Notamacropus eugenii: one gene and its partner. The protein of the gene in region 2 interacts with the protein of the main gene of each other region in a pairwise test. Links are inferred from orthologs where the notes say so. Each region holds a gene or a part of one and is shown on either strand. Other genes may lie near its edges. The genes, in order: CDK6 and CCND2.

Region 1 (14,367 bases), about 150 Mb from region 2:
AGCTTAGTTGAAAGATACTGATGATGAAGAAATGTTTTTATTGGAACAGTGAAAGTTTGGCTTCTGTAGAAAAATGTGTAATTATACATAAATGATGGTGCAAATTCATCTGAGCACTGATCACTTTCTGAAAAATATTTTTATTTTTTCAACTAAACACAAAATATTTTTAATAATTTAATAACAGTAATAACAGCTGGCACTTACACAGGGCTTTAAGGCTTACAAAATATCATATATTATATATATATTATCTGACAACAATCCTGTGGGGGAGAAGCTATAATTATCCTTATTCTTAAGGAAGACTACCTTTTTAAAAAATTCCATCTTAATGTAATTATTTGCAAATATTTTATTTACATATCTGTTTATTTTGCAGTTTAAAGCAACCTAAAACAGTATATTTAAGGAAAATGAAATCCAGGAATTCTAATTTTCCAATATAACATCAATAAAATGGTTTTATAACTCAGGATTTCTGATGAGGGTAATATCAAAGTACTGACATTAAGTCAGTGTTCTTGAGTTCAGTGGAAGAAGACCTCATCAAATGGAAATTAAATTTAGTTCATTGTTTATAAACTTCATACACATTTTGTTGTGATAACCTGTTACCTTCAGGAGATGTTATCCATAAACAAAAACATTCTGGTGTTGACTAACTGTACTTAACTTAAGATAAGCCTCTGGGCACTTTTTTTTTTTAAACATGAACTGGATATAAATTAATCATAACCAAGGAACTACCACCAAAAAATGGATGAGTGAGGCTAAATCAACATAAAAGGTAAGCAATATGAATGAAAGCAGACTATATAAAACCATCTGAACTCTGTGTTAAAATATATATGACTTGTTTCACTGTGATTTATGTGAGCAAGACTTCTCATAACACTCAGTTGAGGAATTTCCAGCCAAGATTTAAATGTTGACCAATTCAGTGACAACACAGAAAGGAATTCAGTGTAGACAGAATCCCCTTCTGAAAATCTTGAAACTGTTCACAGCTCTTTTGTTATATTTCAAATTGTTTGTTTACTGAAACTGTTCTTATTGTGAGTTAAGGCTGTGATCATTTATTGACAATTGCTTCTAGCTTAAAATGCCTTCATTAATATTAACCATACCCTTCTGCTGTTTTGGTTTTTAAAAATACTAATAAGTATGATAATCACCAATGCCACTTGCAATTGTATGTTTTAGGCTTTAACTTGAATTTTATGGGACAATCAGAATGTATATTTTATCCATTTCATGATGGCTCTAAAAACACAGAACCTGAAGATTACCCTCTAAAATCTTCAAGTCATGTGAATTGCTTAGAGACCTATCTAAAAAAGATAGGTTGTTCACAAATTTATTGAATTAAAGGATAATCTCTACAGAAAATTTATTTCAAATTATCAGGTTTATGTAGTAACATTTTAGCTTTGTTTACACAGAATTAGTCCTTTCTATCATTTAAAATATATTTATAAGTTAAGATAATCGATTTAATGGAATTCCAAATGTGAAGCCTTGAAGATTTTTTAAAAACTTAATCACTATCACTTACACAGCTATATAGAATGTAATCTTTTGTTAATGAAGAACAAAAATCACACTGTGCAATCAGTAGCCTGGAAAAATAAAGTTTAATTCAACAAAGCCAGATACTATTTGCAATGAGAATATTTTCAAATGCAAATCAGAATTCTGAAGGATTAAAATTTTTCCCACAAAACAAAAAAAAATACGATTTCTTAATTTGATTTTAAAGTGTTTCTGGAATTTCACAAATAAACGACATTTGCTTTGGGACACTTACCTATTTCCAATATGGCACTCATTAAAAAAAAATCTTCTGTAAAATAAATCATGAAGATTTTCCCCTCAAAAACCTCCTTTTCATCTCAATTAATTTTTAAGGTTTTCTCAGCAGGTCAGGATTTTTTTTTTTAAAGGTTTCATATTTCTGCATTCCAAATAATGCATCTGAGTTGCAACTCATCAAATCACATTCTAGTTTTTCTTTAACTATTATCTTATATCTTTTTTTAAAAACTCAAGTTCAGTCTTTTAGCTTACCAGAAATGCCTTAGTGAGCCTCAGCAGCTGGTAATTACTTAATAATTGTGAACCATCCAGCCTCATCACCGAGATCGTTAACTATACGAGTGCCTGACAGCTCCCAAAGGAAGCGAAGCAAACAAAAACAATGTAGCTCATCCTGAAAATGAAAAGTGCTCGGACAGAAGAGTGTTTTCCTCTCTGCAAGCTGTTCAGGCAGCCACTTTAAAAAGGGGTGGGGGGGACTGAGCACGGCTCTGGATTTGCCCTGATGATAAGTTTCTGGTGCAGTGTTTACCCCCTTGGCCCCTCGGAAGGACTCCGAGTTGTTTGGGGTTCTCCCACCCCCTCCAGCACACAACAGAGCCAGAAGCCTGGCCAGCTCCAATTCCATTCCTCACGCCCACTCGGGCTCGGCGCTAGGCTCCGGGCTCCATCTCCCGGGCCAGGTCGCTGCCCTCCGGGAGTTTACCATCTAGTAGCTCCACCTCGGCCAGCCCACCCCAGTGGTCCCCGAGAACCCAGGCTCCGCTTTCTCCCCCCAACCCCCAGTGAAAGCCGGAAACTTTCATTTAGGAATTCCCCGCCCCCAGCTCGGGAGTGCGGGCTGCGGGAGGGGAGCTGAGCAGAGCGGAGCAGGAGAGGGGGCCCCCGAAGCGGCCCGTCTGGGGTTGCCTCTCCTCCCTCCGGAAGGCTTTCATTTGCACATTCGCCTTCAGCTGCGCTCCGAGCCGGGACCCCAGTCGGTGCCTCGCGTCCCCCCGCGACCCCCTCCCTTCGGCCGGGTGGGGCCCTGGGAGGGAGCCAGTCTCCTCCTTCCCCCGCCCCCGAGTGGGGCCCAGCCCCGGCCCCGGCCCCGGCCCCAGCCGCCGCTGCTGCCGCCGCCGCTCCGCTGGTCTCGGCTCTCCGGGCCCCCCAAGCCCCGGCCCCGGCTGCCGGGCTACCTGCTCCGCGCCGACTGCCCAACACGTGCGGAGGGACTGACTCCCTGGACGGCCGGGGGGGAGTCGGCCGGGCCCCTCCAGGTGAGGGAGCTCAGCGAGGTGGGGGGACGCGCCTGGGGAAGGGGATTTTGGGGGGGCCTGGGAAGGGAGGGGGCGTCGCAGCCCTGGCTCGGGTTAACCCCTTCCCCGCCGGAACCCCCGAGGATCAGGATGAAGGACGCTTTGGAATGCAGACGGGGGGAGGGCTGGGGGGGGGGTGTCAGTTGTATGGCCCGCTGCCCTTGGCACCGGGCTCAGTTGCCCATCCTTACTCGTGGGGACCCCGAACGCCCCGCCAGTCCCCTGCACCCCCACCTCCCCGCGGGCATAAACACAAACACTGCAGCTCCGGGGCTCTTCGGCCTCATCTGAACTTTTCCAGTAGGAACTTTAAACTGACATCACACTCTCCAGTTAGCATTTTTAAAACCCTTGTATCTATCTCCTTCAGGGAACACCCTTGTCTCCCAATCCCCCCACCCCCCAGGTATTTCTTCTCCTTCTCCCGCGTCCTTGGGGACGCTAGTGGGGGAGCTGTTAACTCCCCGCCACGCGATAATTAAACAACAGGCCCCTTGATGTCCACTTCAACAGGCTTGCAAATGTCCTTGGACTTGTGTCCAAAATCCGTTGGCGTCCATGCTTTTAAGATGACACTAGAATATACATTTGCATCTGCTCCTAAGTGATGCTTCCGTTTAAAAAACAAAACCCCCAGAGGCACACTCTCCCCCACCTCCACCCCCCCCCCTTCACCAAAGCCCTGGAACCCTAGCAAAAATACGTGGCCCTGAGCTAGTGCCCCGGGGAGCGACTAACTTGGCCACGTGCAGGACACATATGGTCTGTATGCATCCATGCACACGCACGTCTTTGCCGACGTCTGCGCATTTGTGCGTCGCTAGCTGTGTGTCTTTTCCCCTGGCTATGGCTCGCCTCTTGTCATTGCGCTAGTGGCGACCCTGACGGTATTTGGCAGGCTTCGGCTGAGGCACATGAAGGATTTCATTGACTGTGAAGAGAGAGAGCCGAGACAGAAAGCAGAAGGAGGCGGCTGCAGCCTTTGTAGTCGCGGAGGAATGCGGAAATGTTGAAGCACTATGTCAAACTTTTTTGAAATGGGGTCAAGTCACATTCAGCCAGCGTGGGAAAGCAAGGAAAAAAAAGTAAGGGAGGGAGAGAGAGAGAGAAGAGGGGGAAAAGCACCAGCTCTCCTGCTTGTGTCTTAGACTGAGCCTGGGCCGGCAGCAGAGAAAGGGGGCTGGGGAAGGGGGAGAGGCAGAGGAAAGGGAAACCCAGAAGAAAGAAAGAAAAAGAAAGGGAAAGGTGAGACTAAGAAGCAGAGAGAGAGAAGTGAGGGAGAAAAAGACGCTGGGGGCAAGGAGAGGATAAGCCCAGCAGAAAGCCCCTCTCCCCCAGACGGGGGTGGAGGCAATTTTGGACTTTCAGGCTTATTTTTTTTCTCTGGGGGTGGGACACCTCCAGGCTTTGCCTCTGGTGACAGAAAGGCTCCTAGCTCGGCTAGGCAGGAGCCCTGGGCTAGAGGATGGTGTCTCAGGATGGCAGAGCCGGGCCTCGACGGCGGCTACCTGTGTGGCCCTAGACCCACAGTGGGGAGGTCCCAGAGACTCTTATTTAGCGTGTTTCCAGTGATTTCGCCCTCACCATTTAAGGAAAACTTTGAGCGACGTGTGTGAGTGTAGGGTTTTTTTTTACACAGTTCTCTGACTTCTGCTCTCCTTGAAGTCTATTGTGGTCGCTACTTTCATTCATTATCGCTTGTTGCTTTGTAATTAATGACCAAAGGCGAGCGGACCTGGGATTGAACCTCTCAGGTACTTCAGAATCTTCCAATTCCGAGAGGTTGCTGGGGTGAAAAATGCAGGGCCCGGAACGCAGGGGGGTTGGGGTGAAGCAGCAAGGTCAGAGTGGATGAATGGGGGTGGGGAGAGCGGGGTCTGCCCTTCTCCAGGCCCCCGCCCCCAAACTGCAGGCGGTCCCAGGGGCTGGCGTATTGTCCTCCAAACTGTAACCGGTGGAGATCTCTCCTAGCAGGCTGCCACCCCACACCCCGGGGTTTTCTTAGAGCTGTTCCAGCTACTATTAGTGCATTTCCCTAAAGTCCGAAGTTAGAATAAATTGCCGGCTACCTGGTTGGCATCTGAGACCTGTGCAGGGTTCGGAGGGAAGACGACAGAGCTGAGGTTCCCAGGCTGGTCCGTGCCCACAGGGCACAGAGCTGCTTTGCCCCGCCCGGGGCAAAACTAACTCCACCCCCCCCACTTCCTCGAATACCTCCAGGGCTCAAAATTGCCATCTCTCTTCTCTTCCCCCCCTCCATACCTTCTGCGTAGTTAGAGGAAGAAAGGGTGGAGGGTGAGTGTGGGAGTTGAGGCTTGTTCTAGGGGAGGAACCCTTTGGAAAGAATTCCAGGGAAATACAGAATTAGGCTAATCTTCTTCTGGGATGACTGTAGAGGAGGTAATATGGAGGAATATCCATGCGATGCTCCCCCGGGAGAAATTCTCCCCACTGCAGTCGGTTTCCTCCCTTTTGTCGAACCCCCTGCACCACCTCCTCTGCGTAAGTGCGGGGCAGAGACTTGGGCCGGCTAGTGCTGCTTCTAGGAGGGAGGTCCTCACAGTCAAAGGAAAGAATGCTATTGCTCCCATCCTCCCTCTCGGTCTCCCCATCCCCCTCCTCAAAGATGGGGCTTGGTGGAGAGTCCCCCAAGTAAGGCCTGGAAGCAAAAAAAAAGCTATTGCTCCTAGGAGCCTTAACCAGACTTTATTGCACCCCCACCCCTAATTTTGCCCCGCAGGGTCCTTCCTACGGCTTTACTCACAAGTACTCCAACGCTCCCACCTTTCGTAGTGCACTACACACACACAAAAGTTTAGCACAGTATTTTACACTTAGTAAGTGCTTAATAAATGTTGGTTGACTTGACCGGTTTGCAAATCCCACTCCCTAGGGGCAGTGCGAGGTTTTGGAAATGCACCCAAATTATGTTTAGTGTCCCCATAGTCTTAGAGTAGTTTTAAGTCTTAATAGCTTAGAACCACAAAGGCTTTGGGGACGCCCAGAATATAAAGGTGAAGATTAGGAGACGAGAGTGCCCTCAGACTCCCCGCTTCCTATCGGATCCCACGGCGCCCTCCGCCCTCCCCTTGCTGAAGCTGTGTCCAAGTCGATTCCCTCCTTCCCCGCGGGGGCCCCAGCCTCTTCTCCGGGGAGCTCTCGGGTACAAATACAGGTCAACCTCGTGCAGGGAGAGAAAGACGGGCTGTTTCCTTACCGGCCTCAGCGCAGCCAAGTGCCCAGGGAATCCTGGAGGATTCAAGGGCAAGGTGGGGGTGGAGGGTAGGAGGCTTGGGAGGGATCCGGGAGCTGCCCCCAACCCCAGGATGCTTGAAGGCACTTAATTCTCTCCCCCCCCTTCTCTTTTAGGTGAAATGGTTTGGGATTAAGGAGCGCTCCCCCGGGACCCCTCGATCGTCTGGACTGCGGCAGCAGCAGCAGCAGGGTTGCGGGTGGGGAGCAGCCGGGTGCCCCGAGCAGGAGCGAGAGGCGTGGGGGCTGGGGGCGCACGCGCGGGGGTGAGGGCGAGGAGTGTGTGCAGCAGCAACCCAGAGTGCGAGAGGGGGAGCGGAGGAGGAGGAGCAGCAGCAGGAGGAGGAGGAGGAGGAGGTGGCGGCCGCCGCGTCCGTCCGGCAGCTGCGGTAGCGGCGGCGGCAGAGGCGGCAGCGGAGGCAGCGGAGGCAGCGGAGGCAGAGGCAGCGGCAGCAGCGGGAGCCCGGGTGGCGGCAGCGGCAGCGGCAGCGGCAGGACCCTAGTCCTCCACCGCCAGCTCCTCGTCCTCCTCCTCCGCCCGGGGCAGCACCGGCCCGGCGGCCCGGCCGCAGCGGCGGCGGCGGCATGGACAAGGACGGCCTGAGCCGGGCTGACCAGCAGTACGAGTGCGTGGCCGAGATCGGCGAGGGCGCCTACGGGAAGGTGTTCAAGGCCCGGGACCTGAAGAACGGAGGCCGTTTCGTGGCGCTCAAGCGCGTGCGGGTGCAGACCGGGGAGGAGGGCATGCCGCTCTCCACCATCCGCGAGGTGGCGGTGTTGAGGCACCTGGAGACCTTCGAGCACCCCAACGTGGTCAGGTGAGCGAGCGCCCGGCAGCCCAGGGGGCGGCGGGGGCCACGCGCGGAGGCGGGAAAGGACGCGGATCCAGAGGGCTTCGTCAGGCCAGGCAGGGGCCCCATCCTGGCTTGGTGGGGCTGCTGAGGAAGATAGGTGCCCCCAAATATTAGGATCCCCATTCTACAGGTGGGGAAACTGAGGCTCGGGTGGGTGAATCACCTTGGCCAACTGCATATAAGATAGAAAACTCAAGCCATTATACTTCCATTTTCTAGATGGGGAAACTGAGGCTTAGAGGAGGGAATTTGGCTTGCAATCTGTGCAGCTTGCTATTGTCGGACAATTGGCTCCAGAGCCTCAGGACAGCTCCCCACCCCCCTCCCCAGCCCCCCAAGATAGACCGCTCAAGTATTCTATCTCTCCATTTTCTAGTTGGAGAAACTGAGACTTAGAGGAGGGAATCTTGCTTGGCTGCATTACCAAACTTGTAGCTGTACTTGAGAACTATCTTCTATGCTACACATTCCATTCTACCGTGAGTTGCTTGAGAGGGGTGCTGTTTTTTGCCTTTCTTTGTGTCCTCAGCACTCAGCACTGTGCCCAGCACCTAGTAAATAAGGAATCCTCGTTTCAGAGACTCATTAATAAGCAATAATGCCTGCCCAGCCCGAGTGTGCCCCAAATGACGTTGTCCCAGCCTTGCCAGCCCCTTCGGGCCGTTTTAGGGACCTGACCAAAGAAACCCTCTGGGGACCCCCACGTTTTTATTTCACTAAGTGGGGAATTTTCGAGAGATTAAAAATGAGAACATTCGTGGAGCTGAGTCGTTGGCAGTTCTCTGTAGTTTTATAGAAAATGCTTCGGGTTTCAAGAATTTTCACCAGCCCCGTGGCTCGTCTAGTCATCCCCACATTTTATCTGTGTGCTGTGTAACATTAGAGGTGGGGATACTTGAATTGTTGAAGGGTGTATGTGCCTTGCATGTCATTTTTTTACCAGAAGTAGGATTACGCCCTTTGGTTAGTTAATTTACAGCTCTCTGCTAGCCCCTTCATGATTGATTCGCTTCTCAATTCTAGGCTCCTTCGACCAATTTTGGGGGGAGATTGAATGCGTCTAGATTCTAAATAACTTCCCATCCAGCCCTGCTTTTTCTGGAAGGATTGTGTGTGGATGAGGAGTAACCTTCCCTAAGGTCTCCGTGGTTTCCTTAGCATCTTTCCCAGAGAGTAACTCTGTGGATGACAGTATGTTGATAAATACAGCCAGATATCTCCGTGGGTATTCTAGCAGTCGATGGAAGGGGAAATTTCCTCTCCGTCAGTGGGGTGGGCCACCTTGGAGGATTGTCCCTTCCAGCTCCCGGTTACTTGAAGTCTACTAGCAAAGGCTGGATAACCACTTGTCCTAGGTTTAGGAAGATTTCCTGGCCAGATATGGGGTTGGACTGAACATAGCATAGAATTCTAGTTTTAAAGGGTCAAGGTGTTGTGGAAACAGGCCCCAAAAGTTTAAGGGATTTAGCCAAAGTCCCAGGGCTGGGATGTGAAGCCAGAACCTCCTACTTCAAATGCTACTTTTTCCACTCCCTGGTAATGCCCTCCTTGATGTCCCCTCCTCCCTGACAACAGAACTGTACTTTTTCTGCAGAAATTTTCCCTGAGCTCTTGGGCTGGATCTCTCTTTTCCCACGATCGCACCTTACCTTGAATTGTAAAATGTCCTGTTTGATTCTGTCTCTTCATGCAGAAGAATGCTAGTTTCCTTGCTGTAATCGGATCATTTCCTTTTTACTAAGCAAGTTCCCTGAGGGCAGGAATTGAGCCATTTTCTATCTTTGGGTCTCTAGCACCTGGTTCATCCTGCTGCTTAATGAATACTTATTGGATTGAATTGAATTAATAACCCAGTTAACCCTCAAGCTATTTGTTTTGACTCTTCAGCGTTGGAGGGTTTTCTTGGCAAAGATACTAGAGTCATTTGCTGTTTCTTTCTCCATCTCAATTGACAGAGGAAACTGAGGCAAACAGGGTTAAATGACTTATCCAGGGTCACTCAGCTAGGAAGTGTCTGAAGCCAGATTGGAACTCGGGTCTTTCTGATTCGAGACCACGGCACTCTATCCACTTGGCCACCTAATGGCCCTCTTTAAATCCTGGCATTGTGTAATAAAGGGAATTCTGTAGTAGGAGTCCAAGCACCTAAGTCTGAACCATGGTTCTATCACCTGTGTGAATTAGTTCAACTTCCTAATTAGCCCTCATCTGCAAAATGAAAAGGTTGTATTAGATTGCCTGTAGCTTTCTTTCCAGTGCTGGGTCTCTGTCCTAGGACCCTTTGATTTCCTTCTCTGGAGACTTAAATTCAGAACCCTACTCACCTGACAGCCCTATGTGCTGTTAGTATAATCCAAATACCAGAAAATTCTTTCTCCCTCTGTCACTTTGCAGAGTGTCTGAAGTGTTAATTCATAGCTATGAATGCCTCTCCAAGGAAAAAATGCATCCTTTCCAGGGAAAATGAATGTCTTTCAAGGCAAATCCCTTATAACCTAGAAATGAGAAACTCTGGCCAAGTGGCTCAGGTTCCTCACTGAAATTTCATCACAAAAGACTCCTGGAAAACTTAATGAAAATCCCTCAAAAAAAAACGGTCATTTCCTTTTAGGCAGACCTTGTGTCCCCATAGTAGTGAAAAGGTGAAACATCGCTGAGAGACAGAATTGAATTCATTTATTGATACCGCTCTGTCCTAAGGGACAACCAAAACCTGGTCTCTGTAGTTTAAAAATGAATCAACAACATCAGGATTTGTTCTTTTTTTAATAAAAAAAAGTTTCATTCTAACCTAAACTTTGTCAGCCTAATTGTCCTTGAAAACGTCTCCCTTCCCATTCAGTTCACTTAAACACAACGGTCATCTAGTAAACACTCGCCTGGCCTGGCATGGCCTTTGCTAGATGTTGATGTTGGGGGTACCAAGGCAGAAATGATTCAGGCCCTCACAGGCCCTGTCCATTTTGGAGATTATATGCGTCTGTGAAATGGGGAGGTTTGGGGGGAAGAGTCTGTTTCATAATTATTGAAATGAAGATGTGTGTGAGAGGGTTAACATAACGGTGTTTCTTGCACTGTGTGGTCAACATCACATCAGCATGCCACCATCTTGTTCTCTTGGTAAAGATTCATGGTTTTTAATGAAAAAAAAACAAAACAAAACCAAGGCACAGAACAGGGTTGTGGTTTTTCTATCCGCAACTGGTAGAAATCTGTAGCTCATTGATGTTGCATTGCTTGGGAAAGGAGAATGGAGGGGCTGGCCCTGTTGTTTTCTCCATGACTACCTCAGCAACTTTCCCTGCTGGTCAGTTTATGGATCTGTGGATGATATTATGTAAATAAGAACTGCTAACTATGTCTGTAAGAATTCAAACAATTTAAGATGAGTCATCAAAGCGGAGACCCAGGAATGACCTTTGAAATACCAAATCCCATATTCACCCTGGGAATCTGTGTCTACACAATCTTTATGGGGAAGTTTCAGCTTGTCTCCCTATATACCCTTTGTGATCTGTGTGTTGTTTTGTCATAGCAATAAGGCCAGGGAGGGGATATGTCTAGTTTAAAGGGTACAGCAAGGAAAAAGAAATGGAACAATGAAATGATGACACCTTTAAACAATGTGCCATCTAGTAGAATTGTTGCAAGGGCTGTGGTATTTGCGAAGGTAAGGAGGAAAGCCTTCCTGGATCAAGGAGGGGATATCTAAAGATAGGATTTGATTTAAAGGCTACCTGTTTTCTGTTTTTTATCTTACCTCTAACCATTAAAAAAATTCAAAACAAACCTACTTTGCTATACTTATATTCTCATTTATTTATATTGAAATAACTGAATGGAATATGAATGGGACATAAAGAGGAATAGATTCTTGTCAGTTGTAGCCTCTGGAACACATTTCATCCTAGTTAATATCCTCAAAAGACTAAAATAGCCATAATCCTGTGCGACTTTAAAGGAGAAACACTCCCCATAGAATCTGATTGCTTGATTCATTCTCATTTGCTCACTTCCCACTCTATACTGGGTAGTGTGCTGAGCTCAGGGAGCAGATGTCCAGTGATTCTCCTTTGAAGTCTTCTGTCATCCACATGGCCTACTTTGAGGTGTATTACACAGGTGTATTTAAAGTCCTGTTTGTCCTATGGAGAACTGATTCTATGAGCCCCCATGGGGGATTGGGAAGGGACGGGCAGTGAGGACTTCTAATTATTTTTCTAGTATCAGATGATGGATTTATTCTGAGCTGTCCCATAGACTCTTGGGATTGGTGGGTGAGTCCTTATTCAAGTTATTCTGGCTGTGCTAGGACAAGTCTCAGGATGCTCTTGTGTGTAATTTCTGGTGGACGTTCATCTGAATTAAAAACAAAGGCAACTGCTACCTATTCAAGGAGATTAGGTGGAACCCTTGAGCCTCTTAGAAGTTTCCTAGTAAATCCTTTAGTTGGCAAGATATCTATCTACTTCTGAATTAAAACAACAACAACCCTGCAGGATTTGGCATCCGGTTTTTCAGAAAAAAATCTCTCTCAGGGTCAGACAAGCTAATTGTTGATGCGTCCCATCCCTCCCCAACCTCTTCTCTTTTCCCTGACTCCCTTTCTATTTCTACTCTTTTTCTCTTGCTTGTTACTGTTTTGTTTTTTCCTGCTTTTGCCTTGGGTCCATTGTTGGAATCCATGGGCATTGCTTGGCCTGGCTGGGTGTTCAGGGCTTTAGAGAGGAATGAATAGGAGTCATCTGGGAAAGAGATCAAGGAAGGATTCTACTCCTCCTCACTCCCCCAAGGGGTAGTTTCTGCTAGAACCTGGTGCAAAAAAACCTCGTGATTTTTGCTGCGTAGTTCAGGCCCTTTTCACCTCTCCCTGGGCCTATTACAATAGCCTGCTAATTGGTAGCCTTGCCTCTAGTCTCTCCCCTTTCCAATTCATCTTTGTCACAGCTTGAAGAGTTATTTTCCTAAATCAGAGGTCTGACCATGTCATTCCCCTCCTCAATAAACTACAGGGGCTCCCTATTAATTCAAGGAAGAAATGCAAATTCCTTTGCCATTTAAAGCCCCTGACAACCCGGCCTCACCCCACCTTTCCAGTCTTAGTCTGTTACTCTCTATTGTGCATACTGTGATCTGGCTAAATTTACCTTTTTGTCTTTAATTGTATTGTATTCCCAGCACCTGACACAATGGTTGACACAGAATAGGTCCTTTAAAAAGGCTTACTTTTTTGATTGAGTGAGGAGACCAGTCGGGTCTCCGTGCCTTTACACAGTCTGTAGCTTATTCATTTCTAACTCCCAGAACTCCTAATTTCCTTCAAAGCTCAGTTCATGCCCCGCCTTCTATAAAAGCCTTTCTTTCTCCTCCACCTCCCCCGCTGCTGCTTAGTGACTTTCCCAACCCCTAAAAATTTACCTTGTAGCCATCTTATATATATTTTGTTTCGAGTTTATGTAAACATGTCATGTCCTCCAGTAGAACACCAACATCTTGAGGACAGGGGCTGTTTCACTCTTGCTTTATGTACCCAAAGTCTGATAAATGCTGTACAATATTGTCAGACAGAGAACTGTGACTGATTATTTAGTATCAGTATGACAGCTCGCAGATGAATAATATCATACCTGGCATTTATATAGGGTGCTTTAAGATTTTCTGTTTATTATCTCATTTTATCCTATAAGATATGGAGCGTTAGTACTGACAGCCCCATTTCACAGATGAGGAAATTGAGGTAAGAAGTTATGACTCAATCACATATAATAATAATAACTGGTACTTAAAGCAGTTTAAGGTTGGTGAAGCACCTTTACAACCACCCTGGGAGGCAGGTGCTGTTATTATTCCCATCTTACAAGGGAGAAAACTGAGGCAGAGGTTATATGACTTGGCTAGGGTCATGAAGCTGATCAGTGTCTGAGGCCAGATTTGTACTCAGTTCCTAACTGCAGTCCCAATTCACTAAGTCTCCACCTGGCTGCCCTCACTAGTAAGTGTTAGGTGGAATTTGAAACCAGTCTTTTAATTCTAGTTCCAATGAACTCTTACTGCTCCACTGCCTCCCAGGGACATGTAAATGCTTTCAAGTCATCAGTGGATATATTTTGATGCAGGACAGTGATTTCATTGGTGTAGGGAATGCCTAATGAAGAAACTTCTTTTACTAGTATGGTAGAAAACTGGTGTGCAATTTTCTACCCTCAGAGAATTGCCTGGGGCACTCTGAGATTAAGAGTGTGTGCGTGTGTATGTGTGTGTAAATGTAAGGATTTGAACCTAGGTCTTTCTGACCACAAGACTAGTTCTCTGTCCATTCTGCACTGTTGTGTTCTAGTTAAGAAACCTTGAGAGTCTTCCCCTTCCTAGATATTTTTTTTAAGACCATTCTTTGCCTCATTTTTTATTGAGCCTTAATCACTGAATGGGAGCTGCATCGGTCAAACTGAGACCTGTTAAAGTCCTTAACTTGAAAAGGCCAAGTTTCCCCACTGCATCCTGGGCCATCTGTGGTCATCCTGATCTATATCTGGCCACTGGAACCAGATGGCTCTGGAGGTGATAGTGAGGCTGGTGACTTTGCACAGCCCTGCCTCCTTTAAATCCAGTTCACTTACGTGTCCTGGCATCACCTCCCTGATGTCATGGTCCTCATCAAGAGTGAAGGAGAAGCAACAATCATAGTTATGGGCTACACTCAGAATTGGTAAGGCTTGAAGCATTAAGTAAGGGTGATGATGTATAATTGGGGAACACAAGAAACAAATTAATTTGTTTGTAAGCATTCTTTACGGAGAATCCTGGATTTAAATTTGATGCTTCTTTTAAATCGCATGGCTTTGTGGTATTTTTTGCTTTCAGTGACCATCCTTACCCATCCAACTCACAATGATGTTGAGTCTGATGGCAGTGTGTAGTTTGAGAAAGGAGGGTACAGGCCCCTCTCATTGAAAAGTTCCTTTCTTAGCACATTGGATCATGTGTTACATGATTAGATCACAGAATCTCAGGAGGATCTACCTTGTCTACCTTGAAAAAGACTCCTCCCTCCAGTGTCTCCTCATCCAGCCTGGACCTCTGGTGATGGGGAAACTTCTGCCTCCCAAGGCAGTCTGAAGGACCTAATTCTACATCAAGGCACACTC
Region 2 (15,094 bases):
GAATAACAAAAGTTGGAGGAACCACAGAAAATAGATGCATTGATGCACTATTGGTGGAGCTATGAATTGGCGTAGTCATCCTAGAAAGCAATTTGGAACTATGCCCCCAAAATTATTCAATTGTGCGTACCCTTTGACACAGCAATACTATATCTAGCCTATTCCCCAAGGACATCAGAGGAAGCAGAATATGTCCTGTATGTACAAAAATATTTATACCAGATATTTTTGTGGTAGCAAAGAATTTAAAACTAAAAGGGTACCCATCAATTGGAGGATGGCTGAACCAAATGATAGCATATAAATGAAATGTAATAATTTTGTGCTATAAAAAATGAAGAAACTTGGAAAGATATGTAGAGCTTGAAGCACAGTGAAGTGAGAAAAACTAGGAAGATGATTTATACTGTAAAAACAACATTGTAAAAATGAACAGTTTTCAAAGACTTAAAGACTCTTACCAACCCAATAATCAGTCATCATTCCATAGGAAAGATGAGGAAGAATAGTACCCATTTCCTCACAGAGATATGATATACTAATATTTATAATGAGACATATTTTTGGAGGTGGGCAACGTGGTAATTTGTTTTGCTTGACTATGTTTATTTGATACAAGGATTTTGTATTTTTTTTAGTGGAGGATGGGATGGCAAGGAGAAAAGCGTGAATGATTAATCCTTGAAAAAGTGTTGAAAATTTTAAAATTAAATTAAATATTAAATGAAATGTGGAGAGGAAAAAACAAAAAAAAGAAAATAACAAAATCCATTGCTCATTATACTTAAATGAATCGATTCAGAACCAGGAAAAACATGCCTTCAATATTTCAAAAAAGAAAAACAATAAAATGGAACTGAATGATATATAATTAAAATGATCAAACTTGAACCCAGGAGAGGTGAAAAAATGAACTCTGCTCACTCCACTGAGGGGGACACTAGTGGTGTGGAATGCTGACTATACTCTCAAATATGGTTGACATATTGGTTGATGTTGCTGAATTACTTTTTTCTCTTTTCTTTTTTAATCTTTATTACAAAGGAAGGCTCATCGAACAGGGACAAAATATAAAAACAAAAGGCATCAATAAAAAAGTATAGATTGATTATACAAACATTTTCTTTTATAAAACAGTGGTTCTGAATTTGTTCAGGACAACCTTGCTTTTAAGTGCTTTTTAAAAATGTTAAAAATAAAACTGTTTACAGGGAATTCAAGATATAGAAGAAAGAACATTAGTTTGGGAGTGAGAGAACTTGAATTCCAAACTTGACTTTCTTTCTTACTGCCTGTGTGACCTACGGGAAGTGACTATATATCTTAGGACCTTAGTATCATCTTCTGTAAAGTAAGGTTGGTTTAAATCCTTTCTAGGGTCTTTTCCAACTCTCAATCTTATGAAGCTATGAAAAAAGTTAGAGAAGCTTGGTACTCTGAATTGATCCAACTATCCTGGAAAGCAATTTGCAACTAAAAGTCACTAAATTGGCTCTGCTCTTTGAACGAGACCCCCAAAGAAGTTAAAGACAGAACAAAACACTGTACCCATGTGCACACACTTTATAGCAGCAAAAAACTGTAAAGAAAATGAGTATCCCTCAATTGGAAAACGGCTAAACAAATTATGGTGTATAAATGTGATGGAATATTATTATGCCCTAGGAAATAGAAACATGATAGATTCAGAGAAATCTGGAACCCTTGCATGCACTGTTGCAAAGTGAACTAAGCATAACCAGAAAAACAGCAAGCTACAACACTGTAAAGGAAACAACTTTAAAAGACAAGAAAGGCCGGAGTGGATGGCTGGTGAAGTAATGGCGGCCTTCAGGATGCTGACTTCCCTTTGGCTCTCCCTGGCAGCATCCTGGGGCTCAGGGTTTCAGGGGATCAGACCCCTGCCTCAAACCCTGCTCCTGATTTTGGCCAGGTCCTGTGGGATGGTTCTTCTTGTTGTCATGTGGGCTCTGAGACTAACTTGTTGCTCAGAGACAATCCAGAATTCACAGATGATCAAGTTCAAAGTATAATCACCAAAATGGCTGGTTTGCATTTACAGGTTTTTAAACCAATAAAGCAGCAACTTAAGCCACCAACATATAAGGTAATGACAGAAACACAACGGTAGAGAGGCCATTGAGGCAGCTAAAAAACGGCTAAAAATGCCTCCTGTACTGAAAGGAACAGAGCCAACAAATGATGCATTAGCAGATGATAAAATCCTTGAAGGAACCAATACTGCCAAATCTGTGTTTACTGATTTAACATTTAGCATTGTCACGCCATGAGTGTTTCGTTGTTGTCAGGGGACCAAGTGGTTGTGTTCTATGCAAAGACCCCTGGAAAGCAAAGAAGACAGAATGATACAGGTCTTTTCCCCAAAAGAAGATCACAAGATTTTTCCACCACTAATGTTCCAGGAAGAAAATCTCCCAACTTTGTTCAATCAGCATCGTGACAAAGATGTCCTCAATCTCTGTGTTGTGCAGTTTGAGCCAGATTCAACTAATTATGTTAAAATTCATCACTAGACATATGAAGCATGGTAAAGTAAACATGACTGCATTCAACAAGACCCTTTGGTGGAATGATAAATAAGAAAAAGATTGATGGTTTGCTGATTGACCAGATTCAGAGAGATTTAATGGATGATGCCACAAATTTGGTGGTTCTGTATCACATGCTCCATCCATATGGACCCTCAGCTAAGCAAGCTAAAAAATAAGGAGTTTAGGGATGAGACTTAAGATCTTTGCAAAAACAGAAACACAAAAGGGAGAATATATAGAGTTGACTCTACAGGCTTACCAAGAAACATTAAGTAATCATCCTACAGCTTCCTGAAGAAAGTACTTAGATAAATTATCATTTTTATTAAAAAAAAAAAAGACTTAAAATCTGATCAATACAATAACTAATCATGATGTCAAAAAATTGCTAAGGAAACATACTTCGAAGTTGCATTGATGGACTAGAAGTTCAGAATGAGACACACACTTTATGTAGTGATTGATTTGCTTAATTGTATTTTCTTATTAAAAAGGAAGGCTTCTATGTGAAGGAAAAGGAAGTTGGTAGGCAGAGAGAGCAATGTGAAAATAAATAACAGAAATAAACAGCAATCCAACATTTAAAAAATAGCCAGAAGAAAGCCGAAGGAAATTCAGAACAGGACACGGATCAGCAGGGCAGTCCTGTTACTACTGTCTGAATATTATTATCATCCACAAGGAAAGATATATCCACATCAGTGAGATTCCCAAACCAGTGGCATGTTTAAAGTATAATTTTCTGACTCTCCTGTCGTTTGCCATGACTAATCTTAACTGTTCTCTGTGATTTCCCCCAACATTTGATGCCCACTCAGGAATTCACCTCGAAATCCCACAAAGAATTATTTGACTCAGAGATCATCTAGCCATAATGAAAATGTGACCTAAGGTAGATCACATTAGAAATTAGCTTGAATTTTCTACCCTAATTTCATCTTCGATCACATACAACAACAAAGTAGAAGGGTTGATTTTCTAATCTGTTTTGGCTATGACTGGGCACCAATATTGTTTCAAGTTAACATAAGTACAGATGATCTTAGTTAAAGGTGAATGAGGAAATACATCTAGAATGGATGGACTTCTACTATGTTCAACAGAATGTAAAATGCATATATTCAGGTCAATCCTAAAACATTTTGCAGATTACAAAACTCTGGGAGCAACCTGCTTTGTATCTTTAAATTTACTTGATTTCAACATACCTAAACTCTGCAAAAAAGCATTAAAAGAAAATAATTACTAAACAATATATGTGCAATGGAAAGGACTGAAATATTGCTGTAACATAAGAATATATGCAGAGAAACGTGGAATACTTGCAAGAATTGATGTAGAAGGAACTGAGCAGAACCATGAGAAGAATTTATATGACTATAACATTATAAAGGAAAACAACTTAGAAAGACTTAAAAATCATTTTACCACAAAAACAAAAAGCAAACCATGAAAACTAAATACTACTTATTTGCCCAGTTTTTATTCTTTGATTTAAAAATGACTAATATCCAACATCAGGATGTTCAACCTTCTTATGGATGTTCTACTAACAAGGCAACAAACCTTGTGTTTTGAAAACAAAATGTGAAATTATTAGAAAATATAACCAGGTTCAATTTTGTTTTAATTGTTAACTTTAATTGGTGAATGATAAAGAAAACCACAAAATCAGAAGTAGACTCAGTTTTACTAGGAAATAGATTTTGGAAGATGAGGATGAATTTCTTTTGCAATTGCTGATTAAAAAACTAAATGTGAAGACAAATTGCAATTATTCTACAAAACAATCTCTGGATATGGTCTTGAAAAACCAGTAAGAGTTTTCTTTTAAAAAGAACTTGGCTCAGCTTTTCAGAAACTCAATAATGAATCTAAATAAAATTTTAGAGACACATGACTTTTCAGCCCCTCATACAATTCCTTTGGCCCTTTCAGTTTTTAAATTACACTCACTTTTTATTTCTTCATTAATTTTTACTAAACCATTTTACTTCCTACCTTTCCACATACAAATCAAGTGTGGGTCAAATCAGGCACCATGATGCAAATCAACCACAACCAACCACCAATAACATTAACACATTTAAGAAACTGTAACTTTTACTAATTACTCCTCTTCAGAGGTTATTATAAAATATTTGCTTGAGTCTCATCAGCAGCTATTAAAAAGGGATTAAAAGAAAAGCAAAAAATGTTTTTTTAAAAGAATACTTCTGAACTCTGACAACTTTTAAAAATAATGTTTCTAGATACCTCATAATACCCATGACACCCAACTGGGGTACTCAAGCCCCATAATCCTCCATCTCCCAATCTGAGACAAATGATTTTACCCTCAGGGCTACCCTTTTTTTCCCCAAGAGCTCAGCTCCAAACCATTTCCTCAAAGGTACAGCAAACTTGCCTATGGATATAAATACAAGTTTACACTGTTACTTCCTGTTATTTGGTTGTGTGTACCTTCCACCTAAATCCACACCTCAAGCCCCTTCAGGGTCCCAGTTTTAAATCCTTCCACTAGAAACTCAGAAACTGCCAGCCTGACTTTGGGAAAGGAACTTTCCTCCAAAGTCACCCCACAGGAAAGGTTAAAAAGGCTCAGCAGTGCTTTGAAGAAGGTAATCAATCACCGGTTAAGTCTACACTTAAGGAATCACAGCCCCAGGTGCCGGGTACCAGTGGGGTAGCCTCTGCGCCCCTCACGTCTCGGGCATCCTCTGCGCCCCTCACGTCTCGGGCATCCTCTGCGCCCCTCACGTCTCGGGCATCCTCTGCGCCCCTCACGTCTCGGGCATCCTCTGCGCCCCTCACGTCTCGGGCATCCTCTGCGCCCCTCACCTCTCGGGCATCCTCTGCGCCCCTCACCTCTCGGGCATCCTCTGCGCCCCTCACCTCTCGGGCATCCTCTGCCCCCCTCACCTCTCGGGCATCCTCTGCCCTTGGTCAGTGGGGCTAGGTCAAATGGTGCATTGTAACTGACGTGAGTGGATGGGTAGCCCCAGAGAGCACCAGCAGCAGCGCTTCCACCTCCCCTGGCTTTCCTCTGACTAACCCCCTCCCACCCGAGCCCCCCAGGCTTCCAGGCGGCAGCCTGCGGAGGAGTTGGCCGAGCATGAACGCTGCCTCGGTGAAGTCCACTGTCTGGAGCTCGCTACCTGAGCCGCAGAACAGCCTGCTCACTTGTGCGCTAGCCCAAAGGTCCCTAGGTCAGGGAGGCGGCTCTCCTTCCGAGCTACTTGTGCTTGGACTTTGGGGAGGAGAGGGCGGGGGTGTAGACGGTCAGGGACTACACTCGCGATCATCAGCAGATCTCCACGTTCAGAGGCAACAGAACAGACGCCCGGGGGGGGGGGGGGTTACACACACCCCCCCAGCAGAATTAGCTCGCCCCTGAGCTCAAAGTAAAAGAAACTTCCAGGGCGGTGAAGGGTCTCGAGCTGCAGGCCGAGCAGCCGCTGCAACTCTGGACCCGAGTGGCCAAGGCAGCTCCTGCACACACAGCTGTCGGCCAGACCCCGGGGAGCCAGCCTGGCCCAAGCCGGGGAGGCTGGGGGGGACCCTTCGGCCAACACCCCCCACCCCAAGCTGCGGCTTCCCTCCACACCCTTCCCCCTCTCCCCGACAGCTTCCTCTGCTCTCCCAGCCCCTTCCCCCCACGTGCGAATGACGTCAAAATTCCTCGAAAAAGCCGCGTGGCGGCTGCAGAGGAGGGATTGCCAAGGTTGCGCCCCCTCCTCCTCCTGGCCCCCCACGGGGATGAATTGGGGGGCGGTGGCCAGCAGGGCGCCCCAGGACAGAAAGCTGCGGAATGCAGAGGATGGGGGTTTTTTTCCTCCCGGGGAGTCGGGGGCACTCCAGGATGCGCTGTCTCCTTCAAGGAGAACTCCCACCACCCATATGGTTGCAAAATAAATTTCCTTAAAGCTGTAATAAATTTCCCGGCCCTGTGGGAAGTGTGAAAGGCTGAATCAGACAGGAGAACCGTGGAAAGTTTTGACCTTTTATTTATTCATCTTTACTTTTCCCGGAAAGAAGAGTGGGGTGCTAGTAGGTGAGCATAAGGCAAGCGGGGAGCCTCTTACAATGCCCCGGCAGCATCTGCTGTTTTCGGAAGAAAACGCGAGTCTGCATTAAAATATAGTAAATAAACAGAATAATCAGACAGATAAAGAAACCCACACACACAAGACCCGCCCCATCCTCTCACCTGAAACGCCCTGGGGATCCGAAAGGGGATTGCTCCCTCTTTCATACCTGTGCTCCCGGCCCAGGGCTGGGCACACTGACGCTGTGGCTGTAGTCCACGACCCATGCCCACCACATTCTCCTTTGATTCTCATTTCCCTTCCTTTCCTCTTCTTTTCTTTTCCTCCCCTTCTTCCCTTTTCCTCTAGGTCAAAAAAACTCCAAAGGAGAGAAATAATTTTGCGCTGAGATTAATTTTCAAATGACCTTAGGGTTAATTATATTTTAGTTCTCTGACCATCTTTCCTCTCGTGAAATAACAAAACACCCACTTATTCCAGAAAGGATTATTTCTCCCCTGTGCCCTCCCCCCCATCTCGACCTCCTAGTTTGGCTAACGGAGGAAACGTCCCCCCTTCTCCCAGCTTGTGGCTCGGTGGCACACTGTTTGCAGTTGGAGGCTTTGGCTCTGTGCTTGGAACACGTGCCTCTAAACTTTCACCCAGCTCCGAGCTCACCTGGCCGGGGTGTCTTCGCCAGGTGAGTGCGTTACTGCGGATTCCTGCGCGGTTCCACGCGGCTCGGAACGCCGGGCTGGTCCCTGCCCCTACAGCGTTTTGTACACTTTCCAACCGAAACTGCACAAACACGTGGAGAAGGGGCGGGGGTGATAGAGAGACGAGAGAACGTTTATTCCCCAAAATTCAGCTGGAAACTACTGGGCACGTTTCTTTGTGGAGCGGAGCTGCTAGAAGGGACAAGAACCCACATCGGGAAAAACTTGGATCCTAGAGATTGTTGTAACCTCCAAGTCAAACCCAAAGCACTTACTTAAAGTAACTTCTGACCTGCTCCCCAAAATGCGCTTTTTTGTGTATGTTGCCTAGAAACCAAACTGCTTTCTTCTTAGCGCTGTAGTCCTTTTTTATTTTGGGGTTGGGTTTTTTTTTGTTCTTAATGCAACGTTTTAGACCCTGTAAATGCCATAGACCGCTCGTGGGGACAAACCCCCTTCCCCCACGAGGGAAAAATTGGAGACCGGAGAGTGATAAAGGGCGCTGCTAGCGTATGAGAACAAGTCGGTAATGGGAAGAAGGGAAGGAAGAAACTTTTAAAGAGGCTTTCGTGGACTTAGCCTGCCAAGCGGAATTTGCCCGAGCCCACGATCTTAATGAATGAAGGGCAGAATCGGAGATTTCTTTCTTGTCCCTCCTCTCCCCTCCCCCTTTCTTTCCTCAGCCTCCTTTTGCTGGTATTTCAAAGTAAAGCAAGACTCGGCTAGGAGAGAAGGGGGAAGGGCGACGGAGCAGACTTAGCATCTTAGCCTACCCCCAAAGCCTCTAGGACTCGCCACCCCAGCTTCCCTCCCCCGGAGTGAGTAAGGCCTGGGGGAACTGAGACTCGCCTCATCCCACCACAGCGCATCTTACAAGAACGGTACTTTCCATTTTCTTGTATGGGGATGGGGCAGGGACTGTGACCAGTTATCAAATAATGCAGAATATGAATGACACACTGTCGGGTTGGAAACTGTCCCTGGCTTCTGTCCTTGATTACCCAATTACCCATCTTTTCTTTAAAATACGCCTCCCTCCTTTCTTCCATTCTCTGCTCAACCCTCCCGCCCCCCGAGATCACGGCTGTTTGATCTGTAGGTTAGGTGAAGTTTTGAGTTATTTCTCAATGGCTTTTTAAAAAAGAGATGTTTATTTATCCTGAGTGACTCAACTCCCCAGTCGGAAACTCCAAGCTGACTAAAATCAATAGTTTCAATGAATTGACTGTATTCCCAGTAGTACTATACTCAAACCGAGGGTCAGCTGTGGCGCAGAACAGTTTCAAGTCTGCAAGTTGGGTTTGCCAGCGAGTTTTTAATTTCTTTTTCTACAAAGTTAATGGTTTCCAATTAGCAATTCCATATCCTTCTATTCCTGCCCTCCCACAGAGTAGATCCGACACCGATTGTCCCCCTATTGATTAGGTCTTGAAGGTCCCTCCTTCCTTTCCCCAGCCCCCTCTTCTCTTCTCGCCAACTTTGCTTTCTTTTGATATAGAGGGGAATGCTTCCTACTAAGAAAAAAAAAGTAATCTGCCCAGTAACATTCAGCGCGCAGTAGCAAGAGTCTCTGAGCTATTGGCTATGCAAATAGAGGGAGGGGAGAGACAGCTCCCCAAACTCTTACTCACCCTTTTAAAGTGATATGCCCCCTCCCCTCAACCATCCACCCCTTCCGCCCCACCCTCTTTTAAAGGGGCTGAATTAATCGCCTGTACTTTGGGTTTTCTCCACCTCTACCTATCTTTTGCTACTCTACCTCTCTTGGTCTACACGAAAAACTCTTGAACAAGATCATCCAACTTCACCGCCTCCACATCGCATCACCTTCTCCCCACCTACCCCCTTGGCCCTCACATGGCTCTTTCTCATTAAAGCTTGCAAATCATTCTGCCTCCGCTTCAAGGGTGGGAGAAGAGCCCAGTGGCGCCCGGTTACCCCTCAGCACGTGCTAACTCTGCCCTACGGGCGTGGCTAGGAGATAGGAAAGATGACATCCCCTTTTCCTAATATTGGATGCTGGGGGTGGGGGTGGGGGTGGGGGGAGAAGGTAATGGGAGAGAACAGCCGTAGCCCTAGAGGGAGGGTCCGTGCACTTAATAGCCCTAATAAAAAGAAAACGAAGTATGCCAACCACGCATCCTTGGGGAACGCAAATGACTGCGGAGATAGTTTTGCGAAGAAGGAAAGGTGTGGGGGGAGGGGAGCTAAATCTAATCAGTCCCCTCCCCCACCTCCCCTCTATTTCCTAGAAAGCTGTGTCTGTGTGGTCAGAAACCTCCGGCTGCTTCTCCGCAGATAGAGGCAAAAGTTGATAGAGGGGGCTTTAGCTCCCGAATGCTGGCTACGGGGGAATCCCTGGGTCCTCGGGTTCCGGCTTGCTGCCAAACTCCTCTTTTTCCCGACCTTCCTTATCCTAAGAGCTCCCGTCCTCTCCGGCCAATGGCTTCAGGCCTCCCCGCCCCCCGCCTAGGCGCACACCACCCCGGTAGAATGCTTCCCGCTTGGAGTTCCTGTCTGCTGGGGGTGCATCCACCCTCCCTGGACCCGTCCCCCTTCCTCTTCCTCCTGTGGCTCGTCTAGAGGAAAGGAAGGTGGTTTAAGCGAGCGCGCGCGCGGGACTCCGCAGGGGAGGCGGGGACGGGACATTGTGTTCTGAGCCCTTCTAGCCCAAGTTCCCTGGGAGTGGAGCTTTGGCGTTCCGGGAGCCTGCATCCACCCTGTCTGAACGTGGGCGTGCAATAACTTTGTTAAAATCAAACTCCGATTTCCACTTAAAAGATCCATTTCAAAATTGTCCCCTTCCCCCCTCCCTGGCATCCATCCTTCCCTATCCAAGCATCTGGAGACAGACAGAGGAAAGTCAAAGTGAGAGGAGGCGGGGTTTTGCAGGAAGAAATGGGAACCCTCCCGCCCCCCACCCTCAGCGCGTACACAGACTGCACTGAGACTTTTGGGACACCCCGGATGATAGGGCTCATTGAAAAAGTGGAGGAAGGAGGTGAAACGGGAAGCTGTCATTTTTGGGGGGTGGGGGCTACCCCTATACGTGGGCCCCCGTTTCCTTTTTTCCTAGAGCGGATAGAGGGAGAGGGCAAAGGAGAAAAGAAAGGGGGCAGAGCGTTGGAGGTTACGTCTGACCAGCTGCCGTTCTCCATAATAACGAGAGGGGAAGGGAGGGAGGAAGGGAGACTGAAAGAAGGAGCGGAGGAGGAACCAGGGGGAGGAGAGTGAGTCGAGGGAGAGAGGGAGGGGAGCTGACGGCCCGGCCGGCTTACGTCACTGCCTCCTCTGCAGGAGGAAAGAGCCCAAGACAGACCAGAAAAGTTTGAAGGGAGAGCTGTTGGAGCGAGTGCGGCAGCCCCTCTTAAAGCCTCTTCCTCGCCTCCCCTTCCAGCCCCCCCTTCTTTTTCTAAAAGAGGGAGGTAAGAGCCCCCACCCCCCAAAACCTTTTCTAATCTGGAGGACAGGGAGGGGGGCGGGGAGGAAAGAGGAGCAGGCTCCTTGGGAACGTCATGGAGCTGCTGTGCTGCGAGGTGGACCCCATCCGGAGGGCTGTGCCGGACCCCAGCCTCTTGTTCGACGACCGCGTTTTGCTTAACCTGCTCACCATCGAGGAACGCTACCTACCCCAGTGCTCCTACTTCAAGTGCGTGCAAAAGGACATCCAGCCCTACATGAGGAGAATGGTGGCGACCTGGATGCTGGAGGTTGGTGTGGACCCTCCCTCCCCCTGCCCCGTGCACGCCTCCCACCTCGATTTCGGGGGGCCTCTGGAGCTCGGGCAGCGCGCACCCTCCCGCTACGCCCGGCTGTGCCGCGCGCGCTTTGCTGGACTCGTGGCCTTTTTTTATGATCCGTGCGCGAAGCAGGATTGGGGGTGGCGGCCGGGGGGGGGGGGGGGGTCAGGCTTGGGAGCCAGCACGCGTGTGCAGGTTCGCGTGTGCTTCTCTGCTTCCAGCCCCGAGCCTGCGGCGTGTCTGCGGCGTGTGCGTGTGCGTGTGTGTGTATGTGGGTGTCCGCGCCCGCGTGTGCTTGTCTGCGCGGATGGGTATGGGAGCGGAAAAGTTGCAAAAAGAAATGCGTAAAAAGCCAATGTATCCCAGCCCCGAGTCTCCGCATGCGGTCGGGGCTCCGCTGTTGGCATGGGAGAGTGGGCTGGGGGAGGGGGAGTGGGCTGAGAACGAAGGAGGCAAAGATGCCCCCCCCCCCCCCGCACACTCACACACACACACTCACACTCACACACACACACTCACACACACACACTCACACTCACACACAACTTTCTCCTCCCCCACTCAAAACTTTGCCCAAGTAAGTTTCTCCATGTGCCCACGTATGCATAGCCCCAGACCTGCCGTGGTTTCGCCATGTTGCTTTGCAAATTCGGGTTCAAGAAGTTTAAAGCTGCCCTCGGACCTCCCGAGGACCCCCACCCCCACCCCAGCGCCCCTCTTCTGTCTCTTTATTCTGCCCCCACCCCCACGCCCCTGGAAGGATTACTTAAAGAGTTCGGTTTAACAAGTTTGCTTCGTGCGTTGGAGCTTTGGGTGGGGTAAGGAAGGAAGGGAAAGGGGTTCGGGACCCCCCCTAAAAGAAGTAAGACGGTTGCCGACCCTCAGTTTCTCTTTCCTCCACCCCACCCCCACTACCTTTCCTTGCTCTGATCCTGGTGGGGCCCAGCGGGACTTAGCGGTCACTTGCTCCTTAGTCGGACCTCTGTAATGAAGCATTCTAAGGGGTCAAAATAAAAGTGCCCAAGCACCCCCAACCCACAGATTCGGAAAGCCCGAACCCTTCTCGGGGTTTTCGTGCTGAAAGGGCTCCTCTGGGAGTATTCCTCGATTTTTAGTAAATTTTTTAAGCAGCCCCGGCAACTTCTGCAGCTCTGTGCTGCTGGAACTGCGACTTCCCTTCCTTCCCCCCCCTCCACCCTCACCCTCACCCGCACCCCACTAGCAACTACTGGATCTCGGGGCCACGATCCACCCCCACCCCTCCAACACACACACCTCCCCAAGCATTTCTTTCAAACATAAGAAATAATAGAGCAGGGGGTCCTGGGGTCTGAATGTAACCAAGTTACTTGGATCATTTTGATTTTATTTTTTAATAAGAAGAAAATTTTTAAAAAGGAGGGGGAGAGCCAGCAAAAGTACTACGTAGCAAGAGAAAAGTGGAATGGGCAGGCTACTGCTTATTCCTCTAATTTTGGGGATTTTAATTCATTTCCATTTTTTACTTTTATGGAATCGGGATGTCAGATACCTGGTCAGCTGTCTATAACTTCCTCTGCCTCTAATCTTATCACTCCATCACATCCGCAGCCTTTCCCCACCCCCTGAAATGAAATCGTTTGAGTTGGTTAACTGTATTCTGGTTCTAACCTTTTTCTTTCTATCTCCAATGCTGTCTTCTCCTCTCCCTCCTTCCCCCCCATTCTAGGTCTGTGAAGAGCAGAAATGCGAAGAAGAGGTCTTCCCTTTAGCCATGAATTACCTGGACCGGTTCTTAGCTGGGGTGCCTACTCCTAAGTGCCGTCTGCAACTTCTGGGTGCTGTCTGCATGTTCCTGGCCTCTAAGCTGAAGGAAACAATCCCCCTGACGGCAGAGAAACTCTGCATTTATACCGATAATTCTGTCAAACCCCAAGAGCTGCTGGTAATTAATGCCTCCGTCTCTTCTCCATTCAGCCTTAGCCCCTTTCTTGTCCCTCATCTTCCTAAATTCTTCCATTTACTCTTTTATGCTGATAACTTTCTTGTGGGTGAGGTCTCCTTCAAGACAAGAAGGTCCAAGTCTGAGTTGTTTAAATGTATACTTTATATTGGTAATAGTAGGTATTTTGGTGAGAGGAATGATGATGGGAGTCTGCTAATCTGCAGATTTTATTTTAATGTTTGGATACTGAGAAAATAGTCATCCAACTTCAGATGACCACTGTTGGAGCCTGACTTGATTGTAGATTTAGAGCTGGAAGAGATCTCTGAGGTTATCTCATCAATTTCACCCCCTCATTTTACAGATGAGGAAACCGAGACATTCAGTGATGGAGTCCCTTGCCCAGACTTACGGTATTAGTAAACAACTTGAGAGCTGGGACCATATTTCATAATACTTTTTATCCCAATGATACCTTAGACTAGTAGAATATTCAATATTTGTTTGACCTTTGGTTTTTAGCATCACTAAAGTGTTAGACTTTTTTTTTGGCAATATTTGATTTTTTTTTTTTTTGCACCAGGTTGGGAGGAGAAGGGGAGAGTATTGAGGACTTACAAGCCAGTGGCCCTGCTTGATCCCTGCCATGGAACTTTTTGGTTTATTAGACACCACCCTCCCCCTTCTACCCCCCCTCGACTTTATTAAGAGTACTGAAAACTTTTTCTCTCTCATTTTTATACAAAACATCCTTTCTCTTTTTCCCAGAAGTTTCTCTCATATACCAGGAATTGGACTAGGTCTATGTCTCTTCCAGCTCTGTGATCTATAAAAAGTGTTTGGGGTTCTTCTAAGGAGATTTCATTTAACTTGTAAAGGGGGGCTTTCCTATTGGGGCTGTGCTGCCATCTAGTGGCAGAAATTCATAACCCTAGAGGTGGGAGGAACGATTTGCCAAGGGGTATATAGACAGAGGCAGTGAATGACTTCACCTTTGAAACACTGCCAAATTTCAGCTGCTTCTCTGAGGCTGAAGAAAAGTGGTTTCCTCTAGAGAGATATCTCTTTTTAAAATTGTGCAAGAAAAGGCTCTTGCACCAATATCCTTTTATAGAACTTAAGGCTGGGGTTTCAACCTAGCTTTGTAGGCAGTAAGACCTCAGGATTTCACCAGTTTCCAAAAATAGTTGAAGCTCACTTTGGAACTTATGGAGGGGAAACTGTTGGGTTTGGGGACCAGGCTATTATTCTGTGGGTAATGGAATGTGCCCATATCAATTCATAAGAGCCGGAAGAAAGATGTCAACATCAGTGACAGCTCCATTCATTTCAACACACTGACTGGCAAAGTCAGAAGTCATGTGTTCCATTTAACAAATATTCTTTAATCATATCCTCTGTGCAAGACAGCAAACTAATGGACCAGGCTGACATTTTGTAAAATGACTTTTGATTCAACAAGCAAGGTATTCTGCTTGCTTAGGACAAATGTTCAGTTCAGGGCAGCATTCATAGGAAAATAATATAGTCTCTGACCTCATGGAACTTTCAGTTGAGTAGGGGAGGTGAAATGTATTCATTAATGTACTCAATGTAACAATACCGATTAAACTGTGATACTCAAGACATTTTCAGAGTTTCCTGAAAGCTTCTTCTGGAGCTATCTCATCCATCTTTAAGGATATTATATCATTCTCTCATCATAGGCGGCTAATTTTATTGCTGGTAAAGGAGTCCTGACAATCATGTGGTCCAGACCATTTTCTAGATGAAGAAATCAAGACCCAGAAATATTATGTGTGCCACAAGGTTAAAGAGCTAGTTAGCGGGGGAGCACTACTGAAACTTATTGTTCCATACTGGGGAATTTGAACAGTGTTCTAACTGAACAAGGAAGAGAAATTTGGATTTCTTACGACAAATGTAGTGTTGGAGGTTGGATTTCCCTCTTGCTTTCTTTTGCTGATATCCTTCTAAATTTTTCTTCCTCAAGCTATCATATCCTTTTTAGTCTATTTCACCTTGGACAAAACTCCCTGAATGAGCTCAGTGAGGGCTGATCTTTAAGAGAACTGAAGGTGTGAGACCTAAAAGAGCTGAGGTGTGCATGCTTAGCCCTTGGACTGAGTAATAA

What was found.
Region 1: the proteins of CCND2 (region 2) and CDK6 interact in a two-hybrid assay, tested with the Homo sapiens proteins (2 studies listed by BioGRID, with this or other methods). The link is inferred for Notamacropus eugenii from reciprocal best matches to the Homo sapiens genes CCND2 and CDK6.

The regions. Positions count from the first base shown.
Region 1 is NC_092874.1:47,527,014-47,541,380, forward strand, and holds the start of CDK6 (cyclin-dependent kinase 6), read left to right. Parts: upstream 1-6,770; 5' UTR 6,771-6,953; coding exon 6,954-7,186; intron 7,187-14,367. Other genes in the region: uncharacterized protein, read left to right, coding at 2,535-3,077, 6,486-6,638. UniProt on the Homo sapiens protein: Serine/threonine-protein kinase involved in the control of the cell cycle and differentiation; promotes G1/S transition. Phosphorylates pRB/RB1 and NPM1.
Region 2 is NC_092874.1:201,061,404-201,076,497, reverse strand, and holds the start of CCND2 (G1/S-specific cyclin-D2), read left to right. Parts: upstream 1-7,999; 5' UTR 8,000-8,177; intron 8,178-10,481; exon of another isoform or gene 10,482-10,593; 5' UTR 10,594-10,811; coding exon 10,812-11,006; intron 11,007-11,051; exon of another isoform or gene 11,052-11,280; intron 11,281-12,744; coding exon 12,745-12,960; intron 12,961-15,094. UniProt on the Homo sapiens protein: Regulatory component of the cyclin D2-CDK4 (DC) complex that phosphorylates and inhibits members of the retinoblastoma (RB) protein family including RB1 and regulates the cell-cycle during G(1)/S transition.